2 linked regions of the Alligator mississippiensis genome follow. The protein of the gene in region 1 interacts with the protein of each later gene in a pairwise test. Links are inferred from orthologs where the notes say so. Each region holds a gene or a part of one and is shown in the gene's direction. Other genes may lie near its edges.

Region 1 (10,926 bases):
TTGAAATTAAAGTCTCTATATTACATTGCAAATCTCTTTAGAAATCCAGCTCTCAAGTGGTTTTCTGCTTTCTCAGCCATGGCAGTCTGAAAGAGTTAAATATACAGATGATGATTATCTCCTTATAACTTCTGGATCAGGATAATCCATTCATTCATGACTAAGCCATAGTCCTCCGGGGAGCGTCATAAATCTACTGATATCCCTAAATGCTAGTGATTGACTCCGAATCTCTTGAATTAGCTATAGACTTGCTTACTAATTTGCCACCTAAAGTACATTTTGTAGACAGAACAGAAATGCCTGAAAATCAGGGATTACAAAGACAGTTGTAATACAGTCTTAATTACATGAATTAGAATGGCATCACTGAAAAATACCCAGTAATTTTAGATCTTTAAATGTTAGCGCTGGCCTGAGGTACACAGGTGCGTACAAGCATACATCTTACAAAACCATCTACAACCTATGCAGGTCCAGGGAGAGTAACTTATGTTAAAAAGGACTTGGTGTGCAAATATATATTTGCTAAACCAAATAAGAGATGGAGGTAGGTAGTCATCTTAGTCTGAAGTCAGGCAGGGTCTATTTGCACCTGAAAAACTAACTACATAAGATCGGAATTCATACAGCATCTGATGAAGTGAGCTCAAATTCATGAAAGATTGTGTTCTACCTATATCTTAGTCTATAAGGTGCATATGTGCCCTGCCTTCTTTCAGTAAAAGATATCACCCACAAAAATCTTTGCCTCTCAAATATTTTGAAATGATAAACTTAGGCATTTTATAATAGTTACATTCCAGGGACCATATTTGCTGTGCTTCTGTGTATATGTATGTGTAGATATATGCATATGTACATGCACATATATGTCTACCTATACATAAGTGCATATGTATGTGCACATATACAAACAAGCACAACAAATCAGGTTTTGTGTGTGTGTATTATATATTTTTCCAATACTGTCAGCAGGTAAAAAGTCCTTAGCTCTTAACTGGTAAAATAAATAGCAACCTTTGTTTTTCCGTATTTTTGCTGAGAAAATGTTGAAAAATACAGCTGATAGCTTAGTCCATTTATTGATTGACAGTTTGGACAAGATGCTTGATAGAGAAGATTTATACTACCAAGGAATTTCATCTATTGATGCTGTATCAAAGAATAGTTATACTGGCCGAAGAGAAAAGAGACAACCGGCTGAGCTCAGGAGTTCAACTATAATGGCTAGTGAAGGGTAAGTAAACAGAAAATAATTGTTGGTAAAATAAAGGTTTTTTTAATTCTGCTTAGAAAATGATGATACATATTTATTTGGATACATTTTCATATAAGACAAAACTATCTGCATTTAAAAGCTGTAAAACAACTCATTTTCATGGAATCTTCTACAATAATAATTCTAGCAATTAGGAAATTTTATGCTTAGCTGAAAATTTCCTTTCTTCGATTTTCAGTCTGTCTGAATTTTGGAACAGAACTCTGCCCAGTCAGTCTACGGTGCACATTTGTCTTACTCGAAAACCTGCCAGTTTTGTTCTGCTTCCACAGCTCCCAATAAGGTGAACACACCTCCTTGCTGTAGAGCCTCAGATCTCAAACTTGCATCAAACTAAAGAAAAACTTGAAAGTTAAATTTCTGGCTCAGTCAGGCTTTAAATTATATGGATATTTGCCAAAATTTTGACTGACTTTCAGAGCTGAGACACCGGATTCTTGGCTTCCTTTTTCCCTATTTTACAAAAACCACGTGCCTTAATAACCTCAGCTTGATGTGAGCATGACGCAGAGAGAAAAGGAAGAAGAAACCTGAAGACAAAACCTAAGATGTGTCTATGTAGAGTTCATAGATAGTGACCTCTGTTGGTCAGAAAAAAATTCTCTTTCACACCCACAAATGTATGCAGATACACAAATATGTATGTGAACAAACGTGAAATATAATCAATAGTAGAAGGATTAAAGAAAATTCTAACGAAACAAACCTATTTATGTAATCTAGAGAGACTGCCTGGTTTAAAAACAAATATATTCAAAACAGTAGTAAAAATGTTTGCAAAGGTGCCTTAAATTCTTTCTTTAATCCTTCTGTTACAAATGATTTTTCATGTTGAATACAGGAGCACCACAATTAGCTTTTTAGAAAGATTTGATGAAAGCATGGAATTTTTTAAAAAGAATCCATGTTATAGTAGCAGTAAGTCACAATATGGTTACAGGCTTAGGAAAATTTTGCATTTCTTGGGTCATTAACTTCACCTAACCTTTGACTTTTTGTTCAAAATATTTCTTGGATATAGTTGGGGGCTTGATTTTGCTTATGTTTAAATCAATGAGCACAGTGGAAGCAGAAACGTGCTTTATAGCATGTTTTCCTCTGGCTGCCATCTTCAGTAGCATATTGAAATAACTGGGGTAATTCTAGACATACCCTGATGCAAGTGAGAGCAGATTTTATCCCCTTGTTACAAGCTTATTACTTTAGCATTAGGTAGAATTCAACATTCAGTGACCATTTCAGCGGAGCTTCTTGTGTGGTTTAATCAATTAGGATATGCCTGTGGAAAAATGAACCCTGTTATTGTTTGCTGGCAGTTTGAATTCAGCAGCAGTTCCCTTCATGCTGCTTCCCAGATATTTCAGTGGTTATTCTGAAATAAGATATGTTTCAAAGCAATCAAGTTTGTTTTGAATCACGTTACAGAGAAATACCTGGTTTCACTTCATATGTTGAGACTTAATGCAACTTTCCATTTGGAAAAAAATAAAATTAGATGGTTCTGTCTGTGATCTTTGCAGTTTTGAGTCTGAAACAATAAAGACTTCAGCATGTATAAAAATTGGGATAGCTCAATGATGTCAGCGAAGCCAGACCAGTTTCCAGCACCTGAGAATCTGGTCCAGTATCTATCCAACAAGAATCGATCCCAAGTTTTGCATGCCGTAACATTTTTATTATGTCTCTACTGATTCCTACTTTATGGAAAAAACATGTTTTCCTGTAATGTTTCACTGTACTGTCTATAATGTGTTGGCTCTGAGGTGCCTCTTTTATTCTACAGAGGGGAAGAGGCCTGGGAAAGGCAGCAGCTTTTGCTGAGGGTGGAAGTTAAGCAGTCGATTAACAGTGTTTGCTGAAGCAAATGTTTTTACTTTAATTTCTAAAGCACTTCTGCACTTAATCCTTAGGTCAAGGGTTGCAGAGAGCCCCCTGGAAGAGAGCAAAAATGAAGATAATCCCTATGACTACAGAAAATTGCTGCGGAAAACCTCTCAGCGCCGGCGCCTTATCCAGCAATTCTAGTTGCTGCTGCCATTTGGCTTTTATTAGCATAATCTTTTTTATGATTTTATACCATATGCTTTCCTTTTTTTTTGTATGGCTATTTCCAATATTTCGCATTTACAGTGTTTTTTTCATTTGAATACAAACTATTTTAATTTGTGGTCCCACCTCCTGTTGAAGGGACACTGTCAAGTTAAAAAAAAAACATATTTAAAAAATAATCCACAGAGTTTCCTTTGCTGATGTTCTTAATCCATTTCAAGATTATAAAACAGGAAAGAATGTTTAAAAAGTAGTTTACTTTCTTTAGCATAGATTGTTTTCTACTTTTGCATTTCTTTCATCTTTAAACTATGTAAATAGACCAGTTAATAACCAGTAAATAGACCAGTCCTTTCCTACTCAGGTTCCCACCCTGACAGAAAATTAATTTAACAAACAGAAGAATGAATTAGCTGCATTGGATTTTTAATTGCATGTAACCATTCGTTTTGGTTTATGCCTTACAATGCCTAAATTATAGAGTAAATCTTCATATAAATTATTCATGGCACAGTATATCCTAAACTTATTTCCTTATCGACTATGTACTGTAAGGCTCTGGGGTGGGGTTAGAGGTCAATATAGTGTGTGTAATCTTTATCTGGGAAATGTTTATATACAGGACAGGACATCTAAGCACAACCTTCTCTCCTGCCCCCTCAGCTCTGTGGATAAACTCCTGAATTTTGTTTGCTTTGTTCTCCTTTCTAAATGGGTATTGTTTTTTGTTCAGGCATTTTAATTTCTGGGTGATGGAGAAATGTCGAGGGAAATAAAAATTGGTCTGTTGCTGCCTCGAAGGTAAAGACCAATTGCAATCAGTTCCACCAGGGTGCAAAGGGAATAGCCACTTCAAAAAAAAAAAAAAAATCCACCCAAAAACCTATTTTACAAGAGGCCTGGCAGAATGGATGGAGATAATTAGTGCATTCACACCCAGGTGGAATTCCAGGTCTGATAATTGCACTCTCCCAGCTGTAAAGGGAGAAAGGCAGACTTCATCAAGCAAACAGTCCCCAGAGGGTGAGGGCCAAATCCCGCTCCCTCGCTCAAGCCAGTCGCCCGGACTGCAGTGACTGCCAGCGGCGTCCAGTTCTGCACGAAGCCCTTTAAAGGGAGACACCGCCGCCCTGGCCCCGCGCGCAGCCAGCCCGGCCGCGCCGCTCGCTGCTCGGGGCAGAGCCCTGCCTGCGGCCGCCTCTCACTCGCGGCAGAGGCGGGTTTGCTCTCGCCGCTCTTCCTCGGGTGTCAGTCTGGAAATCTCTTCCTTCCTCTCTAGCAGTAACGCGGCGGAGTAAATAAAGAAGGACGCGAGTTAATGACACGCCTGTCTGTGTCTGAATTACCCTGGCACAGGTGTAATCCCGGGGGGGAGAAGGAGGGCAGCGATAAGCGGGCAGCTGGTGCTGCTGTGAGCGGGGCGCGGGGAGGGACGCTGCCAGCGCCGGCCCGGCTCCAGGGAGCGGAGCGAGGCCTTTCGCGGAGCCTCTGCCGTCTAGCTTCTGCCCGGCTGCCTCTGCTCCCGCGCACGCCGCCCCGGGCCGCGCCGAGGTGCTCCAGGACACGGGCTGGCTCCGACCGGACGGCGCCGCCAGCCCGAGCCCGGCCCCAGCGTGGGCCAGGCCAGGCGGGCCCGTCGCGCCCCGGGCAGGGAGGCTGGGGCAGGTTGGGAGGCGCGGGCGAAGGAAGCGCACGAAGGCCGCCCGCGGCGCGTGCCAGCACCTCCCGCTCCCCCGCCCCGGGCAGCCCCGCGCGGGAAGCGCCGTCGAGACGCCGGGGCCGGCTCATGGCTGCAAGGGGCCCTGCGCGGGCGCGGCCCCCGGGTGCCTTCCTGCCGGAGCCCTCCTGCGCCTCCCCTCGCGCCGGGCCGGGCCGGGCCGGGCCGGGCCGGGGGCGGGCGGCGGCCGAAGCCCGCGAGCAACCGGGAGTCCGGGGCCCGGTAGCCTGCGTGGCGCTGCCCCGGCCTCGCGGGGCCGACGGGGGAGGCGCCGTGGGGGCCACAACCAGGCTCTCGGGGCCGCGACTGCGGCTGTGGCCTCCCCGCGCTATGAACCGACTCCACCGCAGCCCCTGACGGGGGTCGCCCGCCCGCCGGCACTGCCCGCTGCTGTGTGCCGGGGGCGGGGCCGGGGGCGGGGCTGCTCCCCGCCCCCCCTGCCTGCCGGCGTCGAGGCCGGACCTCCTCCTCCCTTCCCCGCCCCCCCCCCACGCGAGGCGAGGACGTCACTCGGGCACTGCTGTGCCTTCAGTGCCGAGTCCCGCTGTCCTGCGAGGCGGGAGTGACGGGACTCACGTGATCCCGCCACAGACCCCCCTCTCCCCCCGCCCCCGTCGGTCGGTCCCGGCCGCGCTCGAGCCGCCTCCCTCGAGCTTCCTCCCTTCCCGCCCCCGAGGGCCCCAGGGGCTGCCGGGCTGCACGAGCGGCTGCGGAGCGGGACGGATCCCGGAGCACCAGCCTCCTCCGCCCCCTGGAAGGCGCCTCCGAGGGCGGCACGTCCAGCAGCCCCAGGCCCGGCGGGCAGTCGTGCCCGGGCCGCGGCGCCGCGCGGGATAAAGAGGCAGCGGCGCCGCTCGTGTCACTGCCGCTCAGCACCATGGAGAGTGCCTAGCGCCGCCCCGCCCCGCCCCGCCCCGCTCAGCCCTGCTCAGCCCCGTGCCGCGCCGCGGCTGCTCGCGCTCCCGCACGGATGGCGACGCCGAGCTCCGGCTTCTGGTCCTTCGGGGCCGAGGAGGGCTCCGGGGACCCCGAGAACCCGAGCACAGGTAGGGGGCGGCGGGGCCGCGGAGCCCGTGGACGCCTTCCAGCCCGGCCGACGGGAAACTTCCCCGGCGCGGGGATCCGAGCCTTCCCGCTCGCCTCGCGCCTCGCCGCGCACCGGGGCCGCCCAGGTGCAGCTGGACGGTGCCTCGGGCTTCTCCACGACCAGCAGGAGCCGCGCCCGCCTGGCCACGAGTCCCCCCGAGGGGCTTGTCCCTGCGGGCGGGGGGGGGGGTCTTCCCCAGGCGTGGGGGGCAAGGGGAGGGGAAAGGCCTCGAGGCCGCTGCTGGGCACGTTGCCTTTCTTTGTTCTCCGGGAGCTGCAGCCCCGGGCGGGCCGGACGCACCCGAACAGCCCGCGCCCCCGCCGCGCCGCTTCATTTCTCTTGTTTTGCAGCCAGAGCCTGGTGCCAGGCGGCCCAGAAGTTCACAGGAGGAATCGGAACCAAACTCTGTGGTAAGGAAGGAGCTCGCTGTGGCCAGTAGCGGCTAGTCCAAAAAAACCCCAAAATATGTAGGCATTAAAAAGAGAGAAACTGTCGCAGGCCGCGGGACCGGAGAGCCCCTGCGCGCGGGCACAAAGGGAGCAGCGGGGCGCGCGATCGGGGCTGCGTTTGACACACGACATTTCGGCTTCCTCTTTTGTCTCCTCGTTAGCTTTGCTCTATGGGGATGCGGAAAAGCCCATGGAAACCGGTGCAAAGGAGGACCCGGGCTCGGAGGAGAAGCGGCCGGCCTGCACCTGCAACACCAAGCCCTGCAGCTGCCCCAAAGCGGATGTTAATTATGCATTTTTACACTCAACAGGTACCGACCGTCCCCTCGCGCGGGTGCTCCGCGGGGCTAATCCCGGCTGGCCGGGCCAGGAGCAGAGGCCGGCGGAGGGGCTGGCAGGTCCCGGAGCCGCCGGGCTACCGCAGCGCAGCCCCCGGGCTCGGGCGGGCTCTGCACGATCTCGTCCCCGCGCTTAGAGCAGATGGCGCTGCCCGGGTCTGTGAAGAGGAAACATTTTATAACATCAGGATTGAAAAAAAATACCTGCACAGCTTCGCCCCGCGGGCTGCTCTGCCCAAGGACGCAGGCAATAGCGACCTTTTCCTAGAGCGACACCAAGCCCCCGGAATATGATCGCTATTTTTATGCTTTTTTTTTTTTTTTTAATTCGGGAAATTCTCGCCAACGAGTGCATGTCTAGCGGGCCCCTCTGCTCCGGCACGTCCCCCAGCCCCGGGTGGGGATGTGGTACCGAGACCTATTCCCACGCGAGCCGCGGGCTCCGGCCCACCGGCGCGATGAGCTCGTTGCAGGGCTGCAGCCGCCCCGCGCGACAAACAGCTCAGAGCTGACACCGGGCACGAGCCTTAACTAAACGCAGGAGCTGCACTGGTTCATCCCGTTGAAACCCTCCAGTAACGAAAAGGCAGTAAACGATCAACAAGTTCTTTGCCAGCCACCACATTTGACCAGCCCCGAAGAAGGGATTTTATTGTAATGCATGCGTGGGGCTCGCATTTCAGCCCGTCACTGTCAGTGCAGTCCGGGCACACGTCTCAAGGTGAAATGAGAAATGGCAGCGGGCTCGCCTTCCCCGCCGCAGCTGCAGGAGCTCCCACCGGGGCCCGATCCCTCTCCCACCCAGCGCCGCCGCTGACATTTCTCTCTTCCGCTTCCAGATCTCCTGCCCGCCTGCCACGGGGAGGTGGCGACGATGTCTTTCCTACAAGACGTCGTGGACATTTTGCTTCAGTACGTGGCGAAAAGTTTTGACCGATCAACCAAAGTGATTGATTTCCATTACCCAAACGAGCTGCTCCAGGAATACAACTGGGAGCTGGCGGATCAACCGCAGACCTTGGAAGAAATTTTGTTGAACTGCAGAACGACGCTGAAATATGCCATTAAAACAGGTAATGGAGCGGCCGAGATTTCCTCCTCCTGCCTTGACAAACGTTACTTTCTGCCTCGTGCCGAGCCTGAAGCCCGCGCGGTGCCGTGTGAGTGTCCGGCCGTGTCTGGGGGCGAGAGGCTGGCACCGCCGCGACGGGGAGGGCGATCCCGGCGGCTCCGGGGAGCGTCCTCCGGCCCCCGGCGCGCACAGACCCGCTGTGGCTCCGCGCCCGCCCGGGGCCGATCCCGGGCCGCGCAGCCCCTACAAGGACAGGGCTGGGCTCGTGCAGGGCGCGGGACCCGCGGCAGGATCCGGCGCCCTGCAGCCGCCCGGGGCCCTGCGCTCCGTGTCCCGGCTGCGGGCGCGGGGAAGGGCTCGCCGGAGCCCGGGGGCAGGCGGCCGAGCCGCGTGGGGCGTCCCCGGCCTCGCCTCTGCCCCTCTCCGCCCCACGCTGGAGGAACTGGATTGTGACCCCATGGCCAGTCCCTGGACCATGGGGATGGGGAGATGTGGACCGCGTTTCTCTCCTCTACCCCAAGCTTAGTTCAGCGTAGAAAGTCCATGCCCAGCCCCGCCGCGGGGCACAGACCGGCTCCCCCCGCCCAGCTCGGGCCCAGCGCCGCAGACAAGCCCCCGCCCGCAAGGGCACCGGACCCCGGGCTCAGACCTTGGCCGAGCTGCGCTGCAGCCCCCGGGCCGAGCCCGTGTGGGGATCGGAGCCTGGCGGAGCAGCAGAGACTGTTTGCTCCGCTGGGGTCCGTTTCCTGCAGTGGGAGCTGCCCCGGTCTCCTGCCGCCCGGCTAAGTGATGACCCCACGTCCAGGCTGCCCAGGATGCTGCCCGCCGGAGCCGCGCCCTGAAACATCTGCAGCCAGTGGAGACAGCTGTGAAAACAGCTGCATTTTGCTGCTGGGGGAGTCCAGAAGCCGGCTGAGAAGTTGCTCTGACAGAGGAGAAGGGCTTTTAATGGAGCAGAGGAACTTGGAAGCGATTCCTCACACCCAAATAAACGCTTTTATTTAGGTTCCCATTTCCCGGGATTCTCTCCCCTTCTGATGTCTGGGCTTCTCTAATTCTTTGCTCTCCGGGTCATAGATCTTTAAAGTTCAAGTTGAGTTGCAGGACTGAGATTGGGCGGATAAGTCACATGGTTTGGGTTTTTTTTTCCCACTGCTCCTTTATTGGAGAAGTCGGTCAGCACCGGTGTATCTGGTGAGAGGGGCAAAGCGAGCTTTGAAATCCACTATCTGCAAATGGTTTGCAATGGAGATGAATCGCAAGAATTTAAATTGTATGGGAACTGAAATGAGCAAAGGAAGAACTGGTGTTTGTCCAGCATTGCTTCCAGTCAGTGTTTTGTTTTTTGGGGGGGTTGTTTTCAGGGGGTTGTTTTGGGGGGGTTTTGGGGGGGTGTTTTTTGCGGGGGGGTTGGTTTTTTTTTGGTTTTGCTAATTAGCAAGTAGGGAATAAAAGGAGGGCAAAGATATGGACAAAGCAAGTGACTATCAGTGGATTTTTTTCTCCATTATTTGCCCAGTTCTACTCATTACTTTCCTGCCAAAGCCACTGGGGTTACTGGGGCCACAATTTTAGTATTTCGGAGTATGGAAAGACTGCAAAGAAATGGAAGAGAATACTCAAACAGAAAGGTTGCTGTCAAATGGTGGGTGTCCTAGTCTGTGGCTTTATTACTGCCTCAGACACTGGCTCCTTGTGTTAGGAGGGGCATATCACTGACAACAGATTGTCTGGCTGCAAGAATAAGATAGCACTAGCAGTTACTTATTTCAGGATTGTATTTTGCAGCTTGAACAGTGTTTGAAAAATGCTTTGAGCTCTTCTGCAGATGGATAAACGTATCCAAATTAGTATATATATTCTTTTTAGAATGAGCACATCAACAGACAGTAGTAATCTACTTTCCATGCTCCCCAGATCAGCCTTTAAGTCACCCCCTTCGGTTATTATCATGCAAAGCTGATTGGCACACACCATTGCCATTATTTTTCTAAATGCTGAAGAGAGCTTTGCTTCCATAACCCAGGAGGTTTCAGAGGTTTACATAAGACTAGAATTGACCTTGGTTATTCAGCAGGGTGAAATAACCCTACACTGCACCTTGACCACTGCAAGAGAGGGATATTCCAAGCACATCCTACCCACCCACACCCACTGGCATAACCAAACCCACAAAATGCAGTAGTGACGTTGTTCTGGGATGTCCCTGGCACTTACTATTGAGACTTCTGTCTTTAACATGCTTAAGAGAGGCTGCAAGGGACACCTCTAGAGCAGGATATGGTCTAGTAAAAATGACTCCATTCATCGGTGATTAAAGTCAAACGTGGAATTATGTTTCGCTACTTTACATTTGGTAGACCCCAGTTTTGAAGGGGAGTGAATTCTGTCTGAGGAAATCTCCACAAGTTCATTGTGCACGTATAAGGCTCTTGGTTTTGAGGACAGTGTGCCTGAGTGAACACAGGGTAGATCTGAGAGAGAATCACCAGCATCATCTCTCTGACAGACAACCCCTGGGAAATTCCCCAGGCCAAAAAATGTCAACTGCATATCTTAGGAACAACCTGCTCCATATTATCCAGCTTCCCCACCACCACTCCACCCCAAGCTGAACAGTGATTTGGCTAAGCAACCGAGGTAATGCTGACAGCAAGGTTCTTCTGGAGTTGTGTGCTATGGCAGATAAAGCAGCCCCGAGGCTGCCATTCCCCAGAATTTCTCCCTGAGTTCCAAGCTGGAATGCCTGGAGTTTCCCAGACCACCCATGGGTCCTGTGGAGGGAAGGGTTGATTTGACACTTCATTTTTTCTAAACCTGCCTGAGAAATCTATTCAGCCAGGTTGGAACTGGCTTGCTGGCAAAGGGCCTGAGCTGGCTCTTGAATTCTTGAATTGTTGTAGTGTCCCCGGGGCTGAAGCAGTATGGCCAT
Region 2 (11,101 bases), on another chromosome or scaffold:
GAAGGGGAGGAAGGAGGACCCAAGTAATTATAGGCCTGTAAACCTCACCTTGGTGCTCGGGAAGATCTTGGAGAGGATCATCAAGGAGCATATCTGTGGGGGGCCTGCAGGGGAGATCATGCTCAGGGGCAATCAGCATGGCTTCACCAAAGGCAGATCCTGCCAGACCAACCTGATTGCCTTTTACGACCAAGTAACTAAATTCTTGGATGATGGTGTTACTGTGGACATAGTCTTTCTAGACTTTAAGAAGGCCTTTGACACTGTCTCTCACCCCATCCTCATTAATAAATTAAGTGACTGCGGCATTGATGCCTGCACAGTTAGATGGGTAAAAAATTGGCTGATGGAGCGCACCCAGAGAGTAGTGGTGGACGAGTTGTACTCAACCTGGTGAGACGTGAGCAGTGGGGTACACCCCAGGGCTCGGTCCTCGGGCCCGCACTGTTTAACATCTTCATCAGCGACTTGGACGAGGGGGTGGAAAGCACGCTGTCCAAGTTTGCTGATGACACTAAGATGTGGGGCAAGGTGGACACGCTTGAAGGGAGAGAGAGGCTGCAAACAGATTTAGACAGACTACCAAAGTGGGCAGACAAGAATAGGATGGGGTTCAACATAGACAAATGCAGGGTGCTGCACCTTGGGAAAAGGAATCCACAGCATACATACAGGCTGGGGAGTTCCCTTCTTGAAAGCACAGAGGCGGAAAGGGATCTCGGAGTCATTATTGACTCCAAGATGAACATGAGCTGCCAATGCCAAACCGCAGCCAGCAAGGCTAGCCATACCTTGTCATGCATCCAAAGGTGCCAGCCATACCTTGTCATGCATCCAAAGGTGCATCTCAAGCCAGTCCAGAGAGGTGATACTCCCCCTCTATGTGACTTTGGTCAGCCTGCAGTTGGAGTACTTTGTCCAGTACTGGGCACCGCACTTCAAAAGGGATGTGGCCAGCCTGGAGAGGGTTCAGAGGAGGGCCACCCGCTTGGTGAGAGGGCAGCAGGACAGGCCCTACGAGGAGAGACTGAAGGACCTGAACCTGTTCAGCCTCAGCAAGAGGAGGCTGAAGGGGGACCTGGTGGCTGCCTACAAGCTCATCAGGGGAGATCAACAGCGAACAGGCAGAGCTCTTTTCTCCCCAGCACCACCCGGGGTGACAAGGAACAATGGTCATAAGCTGATGGAGAACAGGTTTAGGTTGGAGATCAGAAGGCAATATTTTACAGTTAGGGTGGCCAAAATCTGGAATCAACTTCCCAGGGAGGTGGTCCTCACCCCTACCTTGGGCATATTCAAGAGGAGGTTGGATGATCATCTGTCTGGGGTCTTGTGAACCCAGCATTCATTCCTGCCTGTGGCAGGGGGTCAGGCTAGATGATCTGTTCAGGTCCCTCCTGACCCTAGCTACTATGATACTATGAAGTAAATCCCCTCCCTGGCCAGTTCACTCCAGCCTACTACCAGGGCTGGCCACGCCCCTCCAGCACACCTTCCCTGAAGCCAAGGATGCACTCTAGTGCAGTGTTTCCCAACCTTTTATGCCCCACGGCACACTTACCTAAATAAAAAAGCACCGTGGCACACCGGACACAGAGTGGGGAGAGGGCACGTAGCCAGCCAGACACGGACCAGGAGGGGGAAATGCACAGCCATCCAGACACCAACAGTGGGGGCGTGGCGTGCAGCCAGCCAGACAGCGACATGTGGGTGACACACGGCCACCCAGATGGCATTCTGGGCTGGAGCTATGCTCCCAGTCTGTCCATGTCCACAGCAGCAGCAGGCGGGGGAGGGGGGGGAATAGCTCTAGACAGGCAGGGGGCGTGGCTTCAGCCCCAAATGCTGCGGCACACCTGGACTTGCCTGACAGCACATGCCGCATTACACCGCTTGGGAAACGCTGCTCTTGCGCCCTCCAGCTCGTGCCCTGAGTGACTTCAGGCATGTGCCTGCATTTCCTCAATCCAGAGGGAATATCTTTTCAGTCACAAACTGGTTCAATCTAGCCAGGTTAGACTAACCTGCAAAGATTGAATCAATTCAGGCTCCAGGTTTTTGAATGTCTGCGCCTAGTCGAAATTCTGTTGCTGTCACCCTGTACCTGCTCTCCAGTCTTGCCCATGCAGTTCAACTATCCTAAGGGAGACGTCCCACACAAACTCTTTGCTGTCTACCTTTCAATCTCTTTTTGCACCCTGCAAAAGTGACCATTAGAACAATTATTCTGAATGGGAATGCTCTTTTGAAAAATAAAGATTGATTTTTTTTAGTTCACCTTGGCATGCAAGTCATCTGTATTTCTGTCTGAATACATTAAATGACTATGTCTAAGCCAGGGTCCCATTAAACAACTGATTCCGGTTGACTGTCCTTGCTCTTTTTCCCCTAACATTTTACATTAGTCAAACTGACAGCAAAGTCTTCCTGACTCTTAAACTTTGAGGCTAAAAGAAACAATTATAATCAACTACTCTGATACCCTGAAAAAAATTCCCCTCAGTAATTTCTGCATGCATCAAGCTGATGGCTTCTGGCTGAACTAGAATATATCTTGTAAAAAGATGCTCAATCAGGATGTAAAAACTTCAGCGACCTTCCTCTCCCTTGTGCTACAACCTCTTTGAACTGCTGGTCCAAAGGAGGCACAACCATTTTATTCAGCTGGGGAATCCGCAGGAAGCAGAGCTAGCAAAGCAGTTCTGTATCACTTGCCTTGCCCCCCACTCCCATTATCTGAATGTGACCAAGCTAAATGGTGGATTACTGGAGTGTAGCTGTATTCCAGCCACCTCCAACTGCTGGGATGTCCCCTTTGGTTGCTCAAATTTACAAGGGCTGAATCAGCCACCAACATGAAGCAGAATCAATAGCACAAAGGTGGTGCATTCCCCCTTTGCTTTTGTATTGACCACAGTTCAATTTACCCTGAGGACTGAGACTCTCTTTTATGACCTCCCTGTAGATGAATTTGGAGAATGAGGATGGTTTGTAGGAGGAGGCCTTTGCGCATCAAGCCATCTTTTCTTTTTAACCGCCTCTTCATAGTACCTATGTCTAGGAAGCTGGGTTCATACTGTTTTTTGTATTCGGGCAAAAGGCTGCTAACACTGGGTAACAGGCTTGTTTTTACTGGCCCAACTCCCATGCACACACAGAGATGTCTAGCTCATCTTACCCAGGGCTTTGAACTCAAGTTACCTTACCTGGCATAGATGAAGCTCAGGCAAGGCTGCAGCTCATGGTAGTGGCAATTCAACTTTTCTGTGAGGACAACACAGGATGGCTAGTGCAAACACTTTACTTTTAATCCAGTCACACTTTGCAACTCAGGTGTTTGTTTTGCTGCATGACTACTTTTAGTTCTGCTTTCCTAAGTAGAGGGGAGTTAACTTCAGCACAGAGAACTCAGGTTAATGCTGGAAACAGGACAATCTCAATTAAGACATAATTATTTTAACTATTATTCCTCTGCATACAGCAACCAAGAGGTTTAAAGATTTAAAGTTTGGATGCTTATCTAGCTAAGGTGATCTGACCCCAGCTGACTTCCTGCCCCTGGGCCAGGGGGCTGGACCTGATGATCCCGCAAAGTCCCTTCCAGCCCTAATGTCTATGAAAGTTAAATAAATTACAGAAACTATTTTTTATTGTTTTGCAAAAGCAAAAAGCAGTTGTTTCTTTTGGAAAAAAGGATTTCTAGCAAAAAGAACAATTGTGAATACTTGTAAAATACGTCTCATCTTGATGTATGAGACCCTCAACACCAGTTACTTCACTTTTTTGGAAATAATCTACCATTTCAAGTTTCCATATCAATCTAAACACAATAGGGTCATTACAGTTTACTGTGCCATTATCCTTGGGTTATATCAGGGCCTGTGAAGACAGTCAATTTCACTGATTGAGATTTTGTTCCTTGCTTTAAAAATATCCAAAAATAAACAAATAAAAATGGAAAACCAAAGCTGAAAATCAGAATTGTATATACTCTAGTATCCCAAGCGAGACTATATTATACTGTTTACTGAGATTCTTACTGTTAGCTTTCCTCTCTCTGGGTGTTTCTTGCTCTGTATCTTTGGGACCAGAGCCCAAGAGAACCAATGGACAAAAATCTGAGCTGAGTTGGAGACTCATCCTACAAATTCACCAGAAGGACAAATGTTTTCACTCGTGAAATACCACACAGTAGATGCCTCTAAGGGCAGAGGTTCCATTTACCTCCAAATGAAATGATTTATAAAGCTTTGTTTTACCTTAACGAGACTGTTGCAATCCAAATTAAACACACAACATCCACTGTTTTTTTCCAACATGCAGAGAGCATCTTTAAAGAACTGTACATAAAAAGGCCTTTACTTATGTTACTAATAATCCACTCAATTATTAATGCCCCAATCCACAGTGGAGCAGGATCAAGGCACAAAATGGAAATAATTTCAAACAGCAAGTTTACTTTTTGCCATCTGGGTTATTACTTACTTTTGCATGTCGTTCAACTTGGAAAATTAAACTAAACTGATCAGTTGCAGATAGCAGAGCATCTGTTTCATTGTCCCGTTCGCCTGCACTTAACACAAACAAGCATCAGAGCATCCTGTTAAACACTACTGAAGATTTTTTTTAATCTACCCCCCACACACACTAGTCTATTTCCATTGCCCCTTTTTTAAAAAACTAATGAAACCATTAATATTTAATTGGGTGGCACCAATTAAAAAGGCTGATCAAAAGTAAGCATGAGAAAAAAATGTTCTAGTTTCTTGAGGTAGTCTCATCAACATCACATTTCTGTACAGCAAAAGGAGCTAATCTACCTGAAGCGGTTCGAGTTTTGCACGCGACAGCGGTTTAATGATCTTTAGCCACCTAGTAACTACGATTTCAATATGCTGTATACCAGCAGTTCCCAATCTGTGGTATGCGTACCACCAGTGGTCTACAGACAACCTGTCAGTGGTACATGTTAACAGATTTATTATAATTATTTTACATGACAAAAATTTGCTGGTGGTACTTAAGGTTGTATCATTTTAAATTGGTGGTGCGCAATCTGTCAGTTTGGGAACTGCTGCTATATATCATAACTTAGTGGTTCTCAACCTTTTTAGAGCGCCCCTCCATATATTTTGTGAACAGCACCCTGTTGTAAAAGCTAACTTATTTATTACAGTGCTTTACCTCCTTGCCAAGGGGCTGGGCAGCAAGGCCAGGGGAACAGCCAAGCAGGGACTGTGCCTGATCCTGTGCTTACCTGTTTATCTCCTCACATCTACATCCTTCAAAGGATCCCTGGGTGTCCCTATGCCGTAGCTGAGAATCACTGCCACAACCACCAATTCGCTGCCATCAATTCACAGCAGCCGAAGAATGAGTTCTCACACCCTCCTGTTCCAAAGGCGGAAACTCCTGTAGCTGCAGGACACGTAACTCAGCAAGCAATCCCGTGGACACCCAGCAGCAAACAACAATTGATTTACGGTACAAGCCAGTCTGTTCTTACAATAGCATACAAACTCCCGTAGCCAAAACTTCCCACGCTATATCAGCATTACAATATCCTGGTGCTTTATAAAAAGGTGGGAATCTAAACTTTTTTTTTTTTTTAAATAACGTTGTACTCTTAAGTGCTGTAGATAAACACTCGACATGATCAGCACTCCCTAAAGGCTCAACAACCAAAGTACTACTAAAATAAATCCTGACTGCGTTCGTTGTTAAAAGTCTCATCGCTTTATGCTGCTCTGGGAACCCGACTCCTGAGTTTCGACTGGTTGAGCGGGGTTACTCCGTGCACTTCTGTTTGGCAGGGCGCCGTCCGGTGTCCCCCGCAACGGAGCGGGCGGCTTTCCTTCACCCCAGTGTGTACAGCAGGACGAAGCCATAGCCCACCGCAGGGATCCTCCCCTCCAGACCTATCGACCTGCTTCTCTCCAGCCCACTTGCCAGAGCTGCCATCCTCCCAAGCGCTGTACAACACATCCCAGAGGCACCTGCCCTGGGCCAAGTGCTGCAGGCAGGACGCACCCTGCGGCTCGGGGCAAGGATGGGCACCTCCAACCCGGGCGGCAGGGAGAGGCACAGGCTGGTGCCAGGGCCCAGTGGGGGATGGGGACAAGCCAAGGGGCAACACCAGGGCGGGGCCGAGCCCGTCGCACGCCGGGCCATGGGCGCGCGGGGCGCCCCTGCCGGGCCGGAGCCGCCCGCTCCCCCGCGCGCAGCAGCCGGCGCGGGCAGGCGGAGGCGGAGGCGGAGGCGGAAGCGGGAGGAGGCCGCGTCTCCCTCAGCCTTGCCCAGGCCGCCGCCGGCTGCAGCAGTCCCGGCCCGGCGCCGAGGTAGGAGCCGGCGCTGCCCGCGGGGAGCGGGGGGGATGGCGGCGGCCGCCGCTCCGCCTCCTCCTCGCGGGGCCTGGGGCCTCCTCCCGCGGGGGACGCGGGCAGCGCACGGGCGACTCGCGCGACTAAACCGGCTCGGGGCGGGCCCGCCTCCACCCCCCGCCCCGGCCTGGATGGGCCCGGCCGCTTGGCGCGGTGGGCGCGGGGCTCGTGTCCGTGCGGACAGGCGGGGCGGGGGTGCAGGCGCTGGGTGTGGTTTAACACGAGCCATAAACGCAGTTTTAGGTCCTTGAAGCGGCCTGCAGGGTCCCTCCTCCCGCCTCCATTGTCTCTGTCCTCCTTGTTGCAGCCCCTGAGCAAAAGGGAAACCCGCGCTGGGAGCCTGATTGTAGCGCCAGGGCCCACAGCTGCGACATGAGGTGTCTGGTCTGTTCCCTGTAAGCGCGCTGCTTGAAGCGCCCGCAGGTCAGACTTCAGGACGAAAAGTGGTCTTCAAGTTGATGCTGCCCCCCTTAAATTTTTGGACCTTGGGGAACTGGGCACTTTTTTTTTTTTTTTTTTATGAATAATTACAAGATTGAACCGATAAACTGAGAAGGCAAGAAGCATGTTTATATTCAGGGGGAAAAATGTAATTTTTTTGTACTTGAGGGCAATGTAAGTGAGGTGTTGAGGAACTGGAATGACTGGATTGAAATGTTTTGTAATATGTGGCCTAGATTTTATAGGACGCGCTGAAATCCATGCTCAGCGTCTTTCTCGTTCCTCTGATTTAAATAAGAAAATACTGTTCCTCTAATTATACACAAGCCTGTCAGTAACTTCACTTCAATTGTTAAGGAGGTCGAATGGCCAAGCTGGCACTGATCATCCAGAAGAAGGTTCAAGAACAACCCTGAAGGCTCCAACATGTCAAAAGAAATGCAAGAGCTGCAGAAGCAGTGGCGCTTCATGATGAAATCCATCCACAGCAACTCCAATGTGGGTTTCGGATTCGATTATTATTTGATAGAGTGTGTTTACATAATGCTTCTCCAGCTGTCTTTGCTTGGATGTCACACCTCATTTTATGATAAGGATATAATTACAAAAGTCACATTTGAATTTTTCATCATGAGAAAATTAGATCCCCTCTTTTTCTTTCTTTTTTTTTAAGAGGGCATGGGGGAGGAACAAGCCACCATAACGTATTTTTAATTTAAAAGCATTTCTATGGGATTCATTAAAGTAACATCTGAATGGCTCACAACAGGCAGTAAACATTTATCCCCATTTTACATACAAGGAAACTTGAAGCATAAATTTGGAATTCAGATATAGTAGTATGAAGTTTTAAGACGTGTTGTATCTCTTTAACTATATAAATATAATTAAGATAATAAGTATAATTAAAGCAATACAACTTTGTAGTGTAGATCCATCTGTGGAGTCCTTAATGTTCAAGGGAGGGCAATTTATGGATCTGCTGCTAACCTATAGTCCCTGAAAACAAATTGTTTTTGCACCTGTTTTAGTGTGACCTTAGTACCTGGCCTGTTATATGACTTTCAACATTGAAACAAATGTTAATCACTGGATTAAAAATTACAGTTGGTAAAAACCCCATACGCTATAGACTTGCATACTTCATTTACTGTTAGTTTTTTACTGTTATTTATAGCATGGTTCATCTGTATCACATATATTTAACAGAATATCTTTTGTAAACTATCTTATGCTATTAGTGAGGACTCCTGCTTCCACATTGATTTTTCCCCCTTTGTTTTCAAGTACCATTATGTTCTAGCTTCTAAATTTAGGTGTACTAAAATACATTTGATTTAGCAAAATAGATTATATATCTCCACATCTGCTTTGACATGTGCTGCAAAACTATTTCCTTGATATGCCACTCGTGATAGAATTTGTAAGGCATTCGTATACAAGGATGGTGAGTACAGTGCAAATATGTACCAAGCCAGACGGTTCTCCGTGCTTCTGACATTGTGCAGCCATTGCCTATAACACGAATTAATCACTTGTGTACTTACACAATTATTGTACCCAAAATTTCATTAAAGTAGTTTAAGATCATAAAAGATTTATGAAGCAAACACCTAATCTAATTCAACTTTTCTTCTTTCAATCCCCTACAGGTTGTTGCTTTTATGAACTCTCGAATTGGCCAATACTTAGATGATCATCCTTTTGTTGCCTTGTCGCTGTTGGTGTTTATTGCAGTTTCTGCTATTCCTGTTGCATTCTTTCTGATGTTTGTGGTTGCAACAGCTGTCATGGCCTGTATTGGAGTTATAATCATGGAAGGTATTTTATTTATTTTCTTTTCCTCCCCTTTTAAGCCTTTTTTTATTTTCAGGATTTTCCTTTCTCTCCCCTCTCTCATGCCCAGCTCTTGATCCAACTGAATTTAAAAGATTTTTTCTGAAGTTCTCAGCTTTCAGCATCAACAAAAGTCTTAATGCTGGAATAATAATCTAATTAAAAAAGGAAATAGGATTTCCCTGTCTTGGGTACAGTTAATCCCAATGCGGATGCTGTTAAACCTCTTATCTTTGCCTTGGATAGCTTTCATCTCTGGCCTGCAAGGAGATTTACGAAGAGCATGTTGTGTGGGATTTTTCCTTTTAGATGATAACAGATAGCATGTACTGAAACTTCTCTTCTGAAGTATACCTCCACATACCCTGTCTTCCACCAGCTATGTGGGCCTAATCATTTACTTCACCCTAATCCAAGGAAAGGTCACTGTGGGCCAGAGGATCCACCTGGGAGAACAAATAAGAGGCCAGCATCTAGTGTAAGAGGAATGCACATGGCTGTAATGGCTGTAGTACCTTTCCATGGTGGAGAAGGACAGCTAGGGAGGTCCAGGCCAATGCAGATTTAGAGGATTCATGTCTGAGTCCCAGAGATGCTAAGCCTCTGTGCTGAAGCTCTTAGCCTCCTTCGATCCCTGGAGACCTGAACAAAGCCTGCTAAAAACAAACATCACTCCTCAAGACTGATCAGAGAAAAACTCTGTAGGGAGACTGCCTCTCCTTTAGGGGATGTCATACAACTGGGGACCTTGGGTCTTTGACCTGCATTGTGAACAGAACTAATGTGCACTTTTAAATTACTGCTGGTCTGAATTTAGGATTGCAGTAGACCTGCAGCGAATACTTTCTTTGTTTTCAATATGTACTTGATGTACAATAGTATGTACAGTATTCATGCAAGTAACAAATTGGTTCTTCCTTGCTAGGTGTTGTAATATCAGCAGGTGGAATAGCTCTTCTTTGTGTGCTGGGTGGCCTAGGGCTGCTTTCCTTGGCAGTTTCTGGAGTAATGAGTATTTGTTATGTAGCGTTTACAACTCTGATCAACTACTGGTACACTCCAAAGTAAGTATCAACATTTCACTCTGTACAATAATGTCACATTTTAACTGTAGTTGCACATACTACCTTGTATGTTAAGCAGTGGATAATTTGTTGCTTGGAGTAATAATAAACATCAGCTTTGAATATTACAGTATTTCTGTTTACCCTGATAAGACTTAATATTGGGACCTTCAGACCCTGTTTTCTTTGTAAGGAAAAGGAGGAAGAAATAGTTATCAAGTGTGTCTTGTGTAAGTCTAGAAATAGACATCACCAGTGAAGTGGCTATGTCCCAGCACAGCTGATCTGCTTTACTGGGTGAAGCACACAACACCCGTTTTCCCACCTCTTGATCTTGCCCTGCTTGTAAAGACATGCCCCCAGCAATCTCTGGGGTTACCAAAGATTGTCAGGGGTACATTAAGCCAGGACACTCCAGTACAGTCCCAGGGCTGGGCTTCCAATTAGCTGATTCGCAGTTTCAACCCCTGGCCCCCAGCAGAGCAAGTTCCATACTCTGGTGAAGTCCCAGGGACAGGATTGCCAATCAGCTAATTGGCAGCCCCAGCCCTGGGACTGCATCAGTGTGTCCCGGCTTTCCCTGCTTGCAGAAACATACCCCCAGCACTCTCTAGGCAAGTCTGTAGAAGCAACGGAAGTTGAGGTTCCTATTTCCAGAGCCTCGCCATGGAGATTGCCAAGGGCACGTGTCTGAAAGTGGGTAAAATTAAGTAGGTGCTCCCTGGTCTGGAGGGGCCTAATTCTGTGCAGGAATTGGCAGGGTATACAGGATCAGGCTCTTCAAGCCCAGGAAGTGCCTGCCCAGGGCAGTGGGAGAGCACAGGCTGCTTTGGGCTGTCTGCACTCTCCTGTCATAAAGCAAATCGATGTCGGCTGTAATAAATAGTACAATTTATTACTGCCTTTAATTGCTGCTGCCTTATGGCATGATGGATGCCTGTTTGCTGTCTCTTTGTGCCACTGTAAATATTTGTATGGCTGCACAAAGCGACATCTGTTTCTACCCTGATTAACTTCATTCTGCATTAGTAAATACAAACAGTTAAAATGCTTTACATGGTAATGGCCTAGCAAAGTTCAGAGACTGCTTTAGATTTTAAGGGTGTGAATGTGCTAAATAGAAATGAGTTAAACCACTTTGAAGAAACACAATTACAGGAATGTTTTCTTTTAAAAGAAAACAAACTTATCTACTAAAACTTTTATTTCTCCCTCAGCTTTCTAGAAACTCAGGTACAGTTTTAGCAATGGGTCGGGTTTCAATCATTTGACATTAAATTTGCAAGTCCTACAACATCCTTGGCATTTTTACTGTTACTAATTCCTTAAATTACTAAAGCTGAAGAAACTTGAATAACTAAAAGGCCTGTTACATATGTA

What was found. The genes of interacting proteins can lie anywhere in the genome.
Region 2: the proteins of GAD2 (region 1) and LDAF1 interact in binary tests that used the Homo sapiens proteins (3 or more experiments, as listed by UniProt). The two-hybrid records come from large-scale screens. The link is inferred for Alligator mississippiensis from reciprocal best matches to the Homo sapiens genes GAD2 and LDAF1.

Annotation. Positions count from the first base shown.
Region 1 is NC_081828.1:188,876,962-188,887,887, forward strand, and holds the start of GAD2 (glutamate decarboxylase 2), read left to right. Parts: upstream 1-5,944; 5' UTR 5,945-6,018; coding exon 6,019-6,094; intron 6,095-6,485; coding exon 6,486-6,545; intron 6,546-6,745; coding exon 6,746-6,895; intron 6,896-7,761; coding exon 7,762-7,995; intron 7,996-10,926. Other genes in the region: MYO3A (myosin-IIIa), read left to right, coding at 1,097-1,240, 3,193-3,307. UniProt on the Homo sapiens protein: Catalyzes the production of GABA.
Region 2 is NC_081836.1:46,231,855-46,242,955, forward strand, and holds the start of LDAF1 (lipid droplet assembly factor 1), read left to right. Parts: upstream 1-6,247; 5' UTR 6,248-6,338; intron 6,339-6,817; exon of another isoform or gene 6,818-6,936; intron 6,937-7,178; 5' UTR 7,179-7,247; coding exon 7,248-7,319; intron 7,320-8,473; coding exon 8,474-8,642; intron 8,643-9,582; coding exon 9,583-9,721; intron 9,722-11,101. UniProt on the Homo sapiens protein: Plays an important role in the formation of lipid droplets (LD) which are storage organelles at the center of lipid and energy homeostasis. In association with BSCL2/seipin, defines the sites of LD formation in the endoplasmic reticulum.